Macaca mulatta: one gene and its partners. The protein of the gene in region 2 interacts with the protein of the main gene of each other region in a pairwise test. Links are inferred from orthologs where the notes say so. Each region holds a gene or a part of one and is shown on either strand. Other genes may lie near its edges.

What was found. The genes of interacting proteins can lie anywhere in the genome.
Region 1: the proteins of HOMEZ (region 2) and LNX1 interact in binary tests that used the Homo sapiens proteins (3 or more experiments, as listed by UniProt). The link is inferred for Macaca mulatta from reciprocal best matches to the Homo sapiens genes HOMEZ and LNX1.
Region 3: the proteins of HOMEZ (region 2) and SUMO2 interact in binary tests that used the Homo sapiens proteins (3 or more experiments, as listed by UniProt). The two-hybrid records come from large-scale screens. The link is inferred for Macaca mulatta from reciprocal best matches to the Homo sapiens genes HOMEZ and SUMO2.

Annotation. Positions count from the first base shown.
Region 1 is NC_133410.1:79,856,006-79,860,109, reverse strand, and holds the start of LNX1 (E3 ubiquitin-protein ligase LNX), read right to left. Parts: upstream 2,869-4,104; 5' UTR 2,422-2,868; intron 1-2,421.
Region 2 is NC_133412.1:96,383,111-96,387,254, forward strand, and holds the start of HOMEZ (homeobox and leucine zipper protein Homez), read right to left. Parts: upstream 2,870-4,144; 5' UTR 2,689-2,869; coding exon 2,649-2,688; exon of another isoform or gene 2,481-2,648; intron 2,353-2,480; exon of another isoform or gene 543-2,352; intron 1-542. UniProt on the Homo sapiens protein: May function as a transcriptional regulator.
Region 3 is NC_133421.1:84,873,345-84,877,447, forward strand, and holds the start of SUMO2 (small ubiquitin-related modifier 2), read right to left. Parts: upstream 2,869-4,103; 5' UTR 2,740-2,868; coding exon 2,719-2,739; intron 1,105-2,718; coding exon 973-1,104; intron 1-972. UniProt on the Homo sapiens protein: Ubiquitin-like protein that can be covalently attached to proteins as a monomer or as a lysine-linked polymer.

The DNA.
Region 1 (4,104 bases), on a different chromosome or scaffold from region 2:
GCCCTCTGATGGCAGGCTGTGTAGGCTCTCATTGCACTTGGCCACATGGAATGGAAATTTATGGCTTGTCTGCTTCCCACAGTGGACTGGGAGTTCCTTGAGGGTGGTGACTAAGGTTTTAAATCTCTATGTCCCACCCTAACCAAGCACCAGTTACCTTGTAAGTGCTTCATATCTGTTGTTAAGTAAATGAATAATGGAGAACCTAGACAAGGACTTGACAGAGAAGCAAAAGGAACAGTGACTGCCCAAATAGTACTTTTCACCCCTGGAAATGTTGTTACTACCCCGAGCATACAGTGAGCAGCCCACATCCATATAGATCAGCAGACCAAGTGGAATAGAATGAATGGAATGAGCCTGGCTTCTTCAGGCCTGATGCTGAGGACATGTGCCCTACCTGTATGGAGGAGATAGCTCTATCCCCCTCCAAAGACAGTGACAACACAGGTACATACACAAATGTATAGCATGTGTCACAGTCCTTAAAGACATTACATAGGGCTGAGCAAAGTAGGCACCTGTGCGGGTGTGGAGGACATATGGTAGCTCCAGAATTCCAGGAGCCAGCTCAGGGCAGCCCAGAACAAAGCGTCAGGGCCTAAGCAGGGTGCGGAGGGCGTCTGCATGGGGCAAGGGACAGTGTCATGATGGCAGTTGATGACATTTGGGGGATTGAGTGAATAAGCATATAATATATTAAGGATAATGGGAGCCAGCTTCTGATGAATGTTAGAGAAGGGAGTTACAAATGTAGAAAGGGAGTGTTGGATTGGAATTGGAAGTATGAATTGGCAGTATGAATTTATGGCTTTCAATACATATAGATTAATATAGAAATAAATAGATACGTAAATAGAGGAGGAAACTGGGATTCAAAATTAGATCTGTCTAGCTCTTTTCACTGATCTATACTACCGCCCTACACATAGGGCCTCTGCTGTGAAACCTCTGCCCCCTTCCCTGTCCCCCCAGAACCCCAACCCTAGCTCACACAGACTTAAAAGATTCCACCCTCCTGGTTCCAGAGCATGCATCACACCTCATGTCATTAGCTGCACACAACTATCTCATGACGTTTTGATTACACTGAGGGTAGGCCTCCTCTTATCTGTATTCCCTGCATCTCCCTTGGAGCCAGGCACATGGTCATCACACTAGTTAGTATTAATATTTATTGTGCAGTTGTTATGCATCAGGAAAGACTTCCCATACATAATCATTCACAGCTGAAGACAACCTTATGAGGGATGTATTACCATCGTTCTCATTTTACATATTGGCAAGGTAAGGTTAGCGGTGTTAACTGAGGTACTCCAAGATGCAGAGCTAGTGGGAAGTAGAACCAAGAGTCAAGGCCAGACAGTCTAATTCCTCAGGCTGTGCTCCTTGCCCCTCAGCTCTGCCACCATGGACTTGGTGTAAGTAAATGTTCACTCAACAAATTCCTCCCGGGGGATTTGTGTATCTGAATGCTCTCCCTCAATCCAAGTCCACTCTTTATGCTGAGCTTACTTGAAGCTCACCTCTTTAGGGAAGCCCCCCACCCCGCCATCCTACTCTGCACTGCCTCAGCATTCCTTGGGCACAGGACTTGCACCACGCCCTGACATATGAGCCAGTCAGTGTTGGAGCAGGGAACATAGTTTATCGACATTTGTTGAACTGAATTCAATGCCCAGGAATGGAAGTAAACAGGAATACATGACAAGGTGGTGTATTGTACAGGATACTGTGGCTATCTATTTCTGGATTTTCCTGAGAGTTCCAATTTCTAAAATTCCATCCTCTCATCAGACCATTTGTCAGAATACATGGCCAAGAATGTAGTCTGGAATTTTCTGTAAAGAGTAGGGTCACCATTCTACTGAAAAGAGATAGGAATGAAGACAGGATGTGCTGCTGGTCACCCACAACTCTACACATCCATGAGCAGGTCACAGCTTCTCTCAACCTCTTTATCCATGGGTAAAACTACAATGCAACACCTACTCCTACTGTGGAATGAAACAAAGTCTGTGTGTGAATGTGTTTTAAATACCGATAAAGAATATTGTCGCATAAACCCAGTTACTGTTAGTGGGATTACTTATATTTTTACTGATCTGTCTGGCAAGTCGTTTTCATTTGTCAAAGTAAATAAGCTTTGAATGAAGGCCACTGCAGAAAAAAATAGGGTATAAAAAGAGGAAATGCCAAGGCGTTTCTAGTGTTTTCAAAAAGACACACCTAGATATTTCCATCTTTTAGACTCTCCTCAGTTTGGGGTGTGTGTGTGTGTGTGTGTGTGTGTGTGTGTGTGTGTGTGTGTGAGAGAGAGAGAGAGAGAGAGAGGTGAGAACTGGGGGCTGAGTGGGCAGAGGTGACGTTTTTAAGAAATGGTATGAGATTCTACCTTGTAGAGGAACTAGGCCATCTTACCTTTGCTGTATTGCGGATCAGTTCCCAGCTGTGTGAAGTCTCAGGTGATAGTCCGTTTGAGAGATGAGTTCTGCTGGCTTAGCAGTAGCTCAGGAAATTTTTCTTTCTCTTTCCAGTATTCTGTGTCCCAGCTATGCATGAAAACTGCTCCACCATTGTACATGCAGGGGTTAACCAGGACATCCCCTGTCCCTTCTGCAAGGCTTTGGGTAGAGCAGATTCATAAAACTGAGAGCAGCTATGGAGAGCTTAGCGGGAGAGTGGTCCCCTGCAGAGCAGCATGCATTAGCATCAGTGACAAATCTATTCTGGTTTGGATGGGGCTGAGACGCCCCTGAACTTCCTTCTGCTTTTGCCAAAAGCCAAGATCCTTTTGTTCACCTTTAGGGTTGCCAAGTCAGGCCTACCTCGCCCCTAGATGTTGTTTCCTGTGGGCAATGGGAAAATGATCTTGGAGCCAGAGAAGGGAAATCAACAAGGAAATAAACACAGGGTCACCACACCTTCAGGCCATCATTAGGTCTGGAACATTATCATGCTAATAGGCAGGGGCTGCTGACTGGACAGGCCCTAGAATCCTGGGCATCTTTTATTTTTGAATATGAAAAGGGACATGCACCAAAATCTATATCAGGCAAATAAGTAGTTCTGACTTGTTCCAATACCTTGCCAAAACTTTCAAAGATTTTCTCTCGGCAGTATTGCTCATAACTGAACACTGGCTAATGTTTGTGGACAAAGAAGAAGACTGAGCAAGTTTGTGGCTGATACTACTTAAGACTCTTAACTCTAAAGATACAGAATGATTGTTTAAATAAGGATTTCTTCTGCTCATTCTTCAGCATTACCATCGCCATCACTGTCAGCCGCTGCAACATCTTTGCTAACATTTATTAAGTGCTTACTGCCTACCAGGTTCTGTAGTAATTACCTGACCTGCATTATTTAATTTAATTCTCAACAGAATCTATAATTATCACTCCCATTATATAGATAAAGAAACTGAGGATTAGAGAGATTAAGTCGTTCCTGCAAAGTGACCCAGCTAGTTAAAAATGTAAACGTTGCGCTTCTGGAAGTGTGCTTTTCTGAGTTTTGCTTTTCCCACTGGTTTGCTTAAGCACTTCTGTGGGATGACAGCTCCAGTGATGGCCAAAGATTTTGCTTAAATAAGCGATAAGCTCTGGGAATTCGATTCTAAGTAGAAATGTGAATAATTAGTGAATTAAGTAGTCTCTTTCCAGAGATGTGAATCGGGAGCTCGGTGTTATCTTATGTATGTGCAACATGCAAGAAAGACACATGGAGTGCAGGTACTTGTGGCTCCCTAATTACAGGTGGTGCCGCTGGCTGCGGTGCCTTCAGCTCTCCACTGTGACTCTGATTTACAAACAAGGAAGTACACTGCAAATTCCTTGGCCTCTGTGTGCATTTTGGTCATGGCCTGATTGCCACTTTGTCCCTTTGACTTTCGGAGCCAGCTGCTACAAGTTTCTTTTAATCAATAATCCACGGAGTGAATGAGGCAAAATTGCCAACCTGGAAAATTCTGCCTGGTGAGATGAAGTCAGCACATGTATTTTCAGTCCTAAGGTCACACTTCTGACTCTTTTTGGTTCTACCCCTAATCTTTATTTTCAATTGCTAGCACTTAGCTCTCTTGTGTCATGGCGGTTACCCAGG
Region 2 (4,144 bases):
TGTAGTACCAGCTACTCGGGAGGCTGAGGCAGGAGGATCACTTGAACTCAGGAGGCCGAGGTTGCAGTGAGCCAAGATTGTGTCACTGCACTCCAGCCTGGCGACAGTGAGACTCTGTCTCAAAAAAAAAAAAAATTCTCACTCTCTCTCTGAGTCAGTATAACACCCTTCTTTCCCCTTGGGCTTTCCATATCCCTGGACAGATGGCAAACAAGAATGGACTGTCTTAAACTTCCAGTTTCTGTGTTTACACAGTCCTAGGAAAAAGAGGACTCTAGAACTTTAGGTTTGAACCTAGGCCTATCGTTAAATTAGGAGACAGTTAAAGTGGGAGGCGAGGCTGGGTATAGTGACTCACGCCTATAATCCCAGCACTTTGGGAGGCCGAGGCGGGAGGATCACTTGAGGTCAGGAGTTCGAGACCAGCCTGGTCAACACGGTGAAACCCGTCTCTATTAAAAATACAAAAATTAGCCAGGCATGGTGGCATGCGCATGTAGTCCCAGCTACTGGGAAAGCTGAGGCAGGAGAATCGCTTGAACCTGGGAGGCAGAGGTTGCAGTGAGCCATGATCACACCACTGTACTCCAGCCTGGGGGACAGAGTGAGACTCTGTCTCAAAAAATAAAAAATAAAAATAAATAAAGTGGGAAATGAGATATGATCCTGCAGAGTTCCCTAAATCTTTATTTAGAGGCAGTCTGAAGTACTCCTGAAATGTGTTTGGGGATACAGTTTTAAGGGCCTTAAAGATGTATAGTGATATTCAGCTTATATGCTTCTTAACTTTTTAGTTCATGAACCTCTGAGAATCAGACAAAAGTTACAGACCCTCAGAAAGTTATGACCAACCTTCCCGAAATAAACATTCACACTTACACAGTAAACTCAGGGCCTTTAGTGACTGCCAAGAAGCCAGGTTAAGGATTACTGCCTTATATCCTTCCAACTTAACAAAGGCAATAGTGGTAATCACTTAAAGATGAACAGTTTGATGTGAACGAATGTAAAGAGTTGATGGAATACTCAGGAATTCAAGTGCGTTTAGAAGGGACAAGGTAATTGTGATATTAGTTGGAAAGAGTGGAAGGGAAGGATGCTCACCTGGGCCAGGAGCCTGGCTTAACTGACCCACTGGATTACATGACCAATACCATGGTGCACTGGAAACTAAAGGCCAGTAGGCTACTACTAGTGCGCCAAAATCATCTGCTTCATTCAGTTGTCCTGTGTGCTGGGGCCAGTTTTGTGTGATTACAAACCTGCTTATGTCCACACTTTTTCAGTGTCTGTATAATAATGTAATTAAACCTCATGTAAACCTATGAAAAATCACTGCATTGAAAACTGTTCCTTCAGGAATACTGATTTTTAAAAAATTGGTCCTATGAAAACTAAGTCAAATGTTTTGGAGAGACATAACGCAAAGAAGAGTATGCATTTTAAAAATTGTTGAGTTGGGAGTGAGCAAGACAACTGTAAAAGATTGAGGGGTGGGACTTAATCTCAAAAGTACTCTGCACTCAAAAGCGTCTGAATTCTTAACTTCACTTTAAATAAAGCAAAACGGGAAATCAAAGATGATGAAAGTGCCTGAGTGGCTCTCATCTCAGACTGCACTGTAGAATTACCTGGGAAGCTTAAAAACCAGGCCACTCTCCTCCCCATTCAGATTCAATAGTCTGTACTGGGGTCCAGGCATCCACAGTTTTTTAAAAAGTTCTCAGGGTACAGCCAGGTTTGAGACTCCCTGTGTAGTTAACACTGGAAAGAGAATTGGGAACTCCGAACAGCAGTCTTAGACACAAGAACAGTCTCACCACTACATCAAAAGATTGGTGAAATGGACATACTTTTAATTATAATGTTCAAGATATGTATGCATTATCTTTAAAATTCCCAATCTGGTTTTTTCAATTACAACCATCTAACCTAATCATGTAATATAAAAGGGCTTCAAGTGTATGATGGGAAAGAGGCTCACATGACAAAAAAAAAAAAAATCTCCTGATCTGGGCCCACATTACCAAACAGGTCTCAGCTTGAGTCTTCTTTCACTTTAGGAGTCTCAGAATAGGACGCAACACTAGGAACCCCAGAGGACTCGGGTTCTCAGTTTCCTGGTTGGTTTTCTGAGTATGGCTGGGTACGGGAATCAGAGGGGCAGTTTCTTCTAAACCTTTCATTCCCAAAGGCCGCTGATCCCCCAGAAGCAAGGCCAGGTTCTGCACGTGTGTTGAGGTCGCCAGGAGGTAGCCATGGGGGTTGGGGGTTTGTGTGGCGTCGGGGGGGGCCTGGGAAGGAAATGTTTCTCCTATCCTCCATTTCACAGGCAGTCCAGAAGGCTCCGAACTGGGTCAGGGAACAAAAAGTTGTTGCACTTGGGACGATGAGCCCCATGAGGCAGGCGAATCTCAATCCTACTCTCGCCAAGGGCGCCCCAACCCAACCTTCTTGCCCTCCCCTACACAGACACTTACCCTCCCCTAGTTACAACAGGGAACCGAAAAGTCCAGAGGAGAAAAAAGAGAGAACCGAGCCACTTCGAACCTAGAATTCTCCCCCCACCAGCGCGGGGATGGGACTCCAGAGGTGGGAGACCGTACACGAGCTGGGAGGGGAAGTCCAAGGGGCTGGGGATCACTCACCGCGGTCCAGCCCGGGCGGCGGCTCCCAGCCTCGCACCATGGGCCGGGGGGAAGTGGGGGAGAGGGCAGGGGGCCTCCGAGTGGGAGTGGGGTTGCTGCCCGGTGCGGCCGCTCCGAGCCCACCCGAGCGATGGCCGAAACCGGGACTGCCCCCCCACACCGCCCCCGGGAGTGCGCCGGTCTACCCAGCCCTGCTCGAGCAAGTTGGAGGCGGGGCGGATGGGTGGGGTGGGCGTCCAGAGGCGGTGCCAAGGTGGCCCGAGTCCTGATTGGTGGGCGCAGGCGGGCGGGCACGGGCGAAGTGCACTGGGCTGGCCATTGGCTGCTTGGGTCTCGGCTGAAGTCGGCTATTGGCTGCGTGGGCCTCAGCTGGGGTCATCTATTGGATGCGTGGGGCAGGGAAGATGTCCCCTGGGGCCAAGCTGCGGTGCCTGGTACCTCCCCCTACCCTCGACCTATGGGCGCTGGACCTTTGGAGTACCCCGGGCCAGGATCCTTCCGAAATTCCCCAAGGAGGGACACTGCACTTTGCCGAACTGTCTGGACCGCCAACAACTCCCAATTTGTTTCCTTCTGAAGGAAGCCCTCCAGGAAGACCTTTTCAGTGCCCCCTCCCGAGCCATACACACGAGCTGCGCCTTTCCCAGCCGAGAGCCCAACCGCCACCAGCAGCGTCAGCAGTAACAAAGCGCCTAAAGCAACCGGGAACTTGTTCTCGAGATGGATCAGATGTCTTGCCACCCGGAAAGACGAGGACCTTAGGAGCCTGCGGGCGACTTAGGCCGTTCCCTGGGTCAAACTGGCACCAGACCGATGTTCCCAAAGATGAAGTGCTGGAGCAGTCACCTCACTGGGACCTACCAGACCCTCCGGCTCCCCTCCTTGCCCTAGAAAAGAGGACCCGGAGTTCTGCATAGTATTTGTTTTTCACTAGCTAGAAAGGGATGAAGACTGAGGTGGGAGAATAACTTGATTCCAAGAGTTCGAGGCCAGTCTGGGCAACATAGTGAGACCTTGCCTCAAAAAAAATTTTTTTTAACTTACAAAAAGAAAGGGATGACAATAAAACGGACTTCACCAAAGCAGTATCCCACACAGTATGAAGTTATAGGCCAAAATTTGTATTTTAGGATTCCCCATCTTCTGTGAGACAAAGTAACAAATGTAAGAAGCCAGACTTGCTCAATTCTGCTTGGCAACATAATTTCACAAAGCCTCTGACTCTGAAGTCTCTGGGAAGACCCTTTGAAGACAAAAGAGGATAGGGCACACAGTCAACCATGTCTCTTGCCTGAGTCACTATATTCCCTAAAAGATAAACGGGCTGGGAGCGGTGGCTCACAAACCTAATCCCAATGCTTTGGGAGGTCAAAGAGGGAGGATTGCTTGAGGCCAGGATCCAAGACCAGCGAGGCAACATAGCGAGTCCCTGTCTCTGCAGAAAAATTTAAAAATTAGCTGGACTTGGTGGCGTGCACTTGTAGTCCCAGCTACTC
Region 3 (4,103 bases), on a different chromosome or scaffold from region 2:
AGAAGGGCATAAACCCGGGAGATGGAGCTTGCAGTGAGCTGAGATCTGGCCACTGCAGTCCAGCCTGGGCGACAGAGCAAGACTCCGTCTCGGGGGGGAAAAAAAAAAAAAAAAGAATAGCTTCAACTCAGGAGGCAGAGGTTGCAGTGAGCAGAGATTGAACCACTGCACTCCAGCCTGGGCAATAGAACAAGATTCTGTCAAAAAAAAACCAAAAAAAAACAAAAAAAACCCCACGATTTACAAGGTAGATAAGTTCTAGCTTAAAAAAATACGGCAAGACTCCCATCTCAAAAAAAAAAATAAAAAAAAAGACTTCTTGGTCTGGCGCAGTGGCTCATGCTTGTAATCCCAGCACTTTGGAAGACCGAGGCGGGTGGATCACCTGAGGTCAGGAGTTTGAGACAAGCCTAGCCAATATGATGAAACCCCATCTCTACCAAAAATACTAAAAAAAATTGGCCAAGCGTGGTGGCAGGCACCTGTAATCCCAGCTACTCAGGAGGCTGAGGCAGGAAAACTGCTTGAACCCGGGAAGTGGAAGTTGCAGTGAGCTGAGCTCACGCCACTGTACTTCAGCTTGAGCAACAAGAATGAAACTCCGTCTCAAAAAAATAAAATAAAATAATAAAAGACTCTTAAGTAATTTTACCAAGTTCACTCTTACTTTCTTATAAACATAAAATTACATTTCCTTGGTTAAAAAAAAAACCAAAAAACAAGTATTGTAAATACAATTTGATGGATTTCTGGCACAGGACTGGAACCACATATAATACTAAGCAAATCATCCTAAGGGTTTTCATGAGCAAGCTACCAAGTGCACGATAAAACTGACATGCCAAGTACAAGTGCATATTCATCCCATCAAAAAGTCACTGTAGTATTATGCCAGGCTAGTTTTTGTTCCCATGAAAATAAGATTTTTAAAAATAGTTTTATTCAGTGGAAGTACACATATGAATTCCTCACCTGTCGTTCACAATAGGCTTTCATTAGTTTACTAAGTGGTGTATGCCTCTTAATCTTAAACTGCACCACAGAACCATCCTGCCCCGCCACCTTCAAATTAATATGATCGTTGTTCTCAGTCTTGACTCCTTCCTGTTAAAAGAAAAATAAAAGTATAATTTGGGAAATGTGATCAACACACACTTTTATAAAGCAGCAGCAGCCCTAAGTTGCTTCAAAAATCAACAGGTTTCTCATACGGTATGCTAAAACGGCATACGGCTGTTTTCAGCTGCTGAAATCAATGTGAAAGAGGAGAAATCCTGCAGCAACAGTATTAGATAGCTGTCAGATACAGAAAAGCCTACATGCAATACTATCAGTAACAACAATACATGTTTAAAGTTGGGTCCTATTCAGTGTATTGAACGTTCTCTTGAAGCTAAACTTTCTAAAATGGCATATATCACTCCCAAAATATATATTTTACCCCCAAAAAAAGTTAAAAATAAGAGTCTCTTTTCTAAGCACTTTAAGTACAACTGCAAGAAACAAAACAATAAATCTACAGCCTGCCATTCAAAACTCATTACCGTTGTCGTTAAAAAGTTACCAAACTCAGTTTAATAACCTAAATCCAATCTCCATTAAAGTAAACACACACACGAAAAATCGAAGAATATCCCGATTCCCTCCGGAACAGCGGTAATACTCAGGACCACAGTTACGTTCTCCTCTATTAGCAGCTTCATTTTTATCTTCGGTTAAGAGCACTTATTCTCCCCTCCCCTTTGTTGTCATGGGTCAAATACACAGTTTTATCCCAAGTGTTTCTTGTAGATTTCGACCCAACCTAAAGTTGTCCAAAATCGAGTGTAGAAGGCATGCTGTAGCCCTAAAACGCTTCAGAAAGTAAAGGCGCGAGAGGCGGGAGGTGTCACCAAACTAAAAGCAGCAAGTCCCGTGTGCCCCGATGATGGGTGTCCCCCAGTCCTCCCGGGAAGTCTTCGGGTGCCTCAAAAGCCGCATTCAAAAGTTAAGCCGCACAAAGTCTCTCTGCTCCTACCTGTGCCTCCAACTTCATGAAACCACATGGTCTTCGCGGATTAGGGGTTCGTTGGCACCCAGGGAAAAGCCGCTGCCCCTCCCCCCTCAGGTCCCTGAGGCCATTAAAGTGGGAAATACTCCACGGGAATCCCCCTACCCCCAGGCCCAGTACGGCGGCCAGCGGGCATCCAGGTTCCTGCTCATCAGCAGCCCATTGATTCGCCCCGAACCCTCGCCCCGCCGCCGCCGCCCCGGGCAGGAGTCCCCAGATGCCCGCGGTTTCTACCCCTGAGAGGTGAAGCCCGAGCCCAGGGGACTCCCCGCCGCCTCGGAGACTGCAACACCCGACGCGGGGTCGGCGCAGGGTGGAGACCCCGCGCGCCCTAACGCCCCTCCTCACGCGCGCCGGACGGCTGGGCCAAGAATCCCCGTTCGGGGCTGGTGGGCCCGCGGGCGTCCGCGATCTGCCCGCCCAACTCGCGCCCCGCGCGCACTCGGAGGCCGCCGGGGGCGGGAGAGAGCGGCGGGGCCTCCTCCGGCGCGGGAGGGAGGAAGAGAGGGAGGGAGGAAAATGGCGCGGAGCGCCGGGGCCTGAGCTGCGGCCGGCCCTGTGGGGGGCCCGGGAAGGCGCTGGGAGCCAGCGGCGAGCTCTGGCCGGACCCCGGCCCGCGCCCTGACCCCGACCGCGCGGCGAGGCGAAGGGGCCGGCGCCGAGCTCACCTTGGGCTTTTCGTCGGCCATGGCGAGCGCCGGAGTCTCCTCAGCTGCCGCTTCACAAAAGAGGTACCAGGTCCGCACCAAACGAGCACACAAGCAGCACCAGGAGCGGCAGAAGAAGGAGGCGGCAGCGGTGGACGAGGGAGAGGGTGCGCGCACGTCGTGCGCTCCCTCCCCCCACCCTGCGTGCGCGAGCACGAGCCGCCGGGGCCTCCCATTGGCTGGCGCCTCGCGGGAGCGCGCAACGCTTACATAACCACCCCCACCCCCCGCCCCGCGCCACCGCGTCCTGGGCCAGGCGCCCGCCCGGCCGGCGGGAAGAAGCGCGGACACGCGCACCCGGCCCGCCGCGGGGGCGCGCCTGGCTCTGGGCGGGGCTGTATTGTCCTCCTTCGTGGTGGAGCATAATCAAAATGGCTTCCAGCTGGTCCTCGGTGGGAACGATGAGGCTCGAGGCTTTAGACGTGAGCCATAGGCCAGGGAAGGCTGACTGACTAGAGGAAGAAGGGGATTCCTAAATCAAAGCCCCAGCATGAGGTTCTGGAAAAATCTCTCTCTTTCAGTGGACCAGCAGCCCTCCCATGGTTACTTCCTCTCAGTCAGTCTTAACCTGCTTCCCACCGGACTCTTGCCTCAAATGCAGTGTCTTCTTCTTTTTTTTTTTTTTTTTTTTTGAGACGGAGTCTCGCTCTGTTGCCCAGGCTGGAGTGCAGTGGCACGATCTCGGCTCACAGCAACCTCTGCCTCCCAGGTTCAAGCGATTCTCCTGCCTCAGCCTCCCGAGGAGCTGGTATTACAGGCGCACGCCACAACACCCGGCTAATTTTTTGTATTTTTCGTAGGGACAAGGTTTCCCCGTGTTAGCCAGGATGGTCTCGGTCTTCTGACCTCGTGATCCGCCCGCCTCGGCCTCCCAAAGTACTGGGATTACAGGCGTGAGCCACCATACCCGGCCTGCAGTGTCTTCTTCTGTCCTGCTGGTAACCCTAGACTTTGACTAGCTACGGGAAAATGTTCGTGTATTCATTCAACGAACTCCTTACTCATCGCCTATCTTCCAAGAGGAAACAGTATCCTTAAGCGAGAACTACCCAACAATCAAGCTTCCAGCCAATTTAATCATTTCCTCCTTGCATCCAGTTAAAACATAGACATGCATCCCTCCTGTCTGAAGAACAATCCAGTGTGTGCACTGGATTCCATCTTGCTCCTCCCCCTGGGCTTTATTATTTGCTTTTGTCCCTGAATTTTCTTCCTCTCCTCCGTTAGTATAGAAAAAAAAAAAAAAAAAGAAGAAGCTCTCAATTCTATTAAGTTACCATCCTATCTCTCTCCATTCTTGGCCAAACAGCTTGAAAAAATGTCCCTGCCAGCTGTCTCCAACCCCT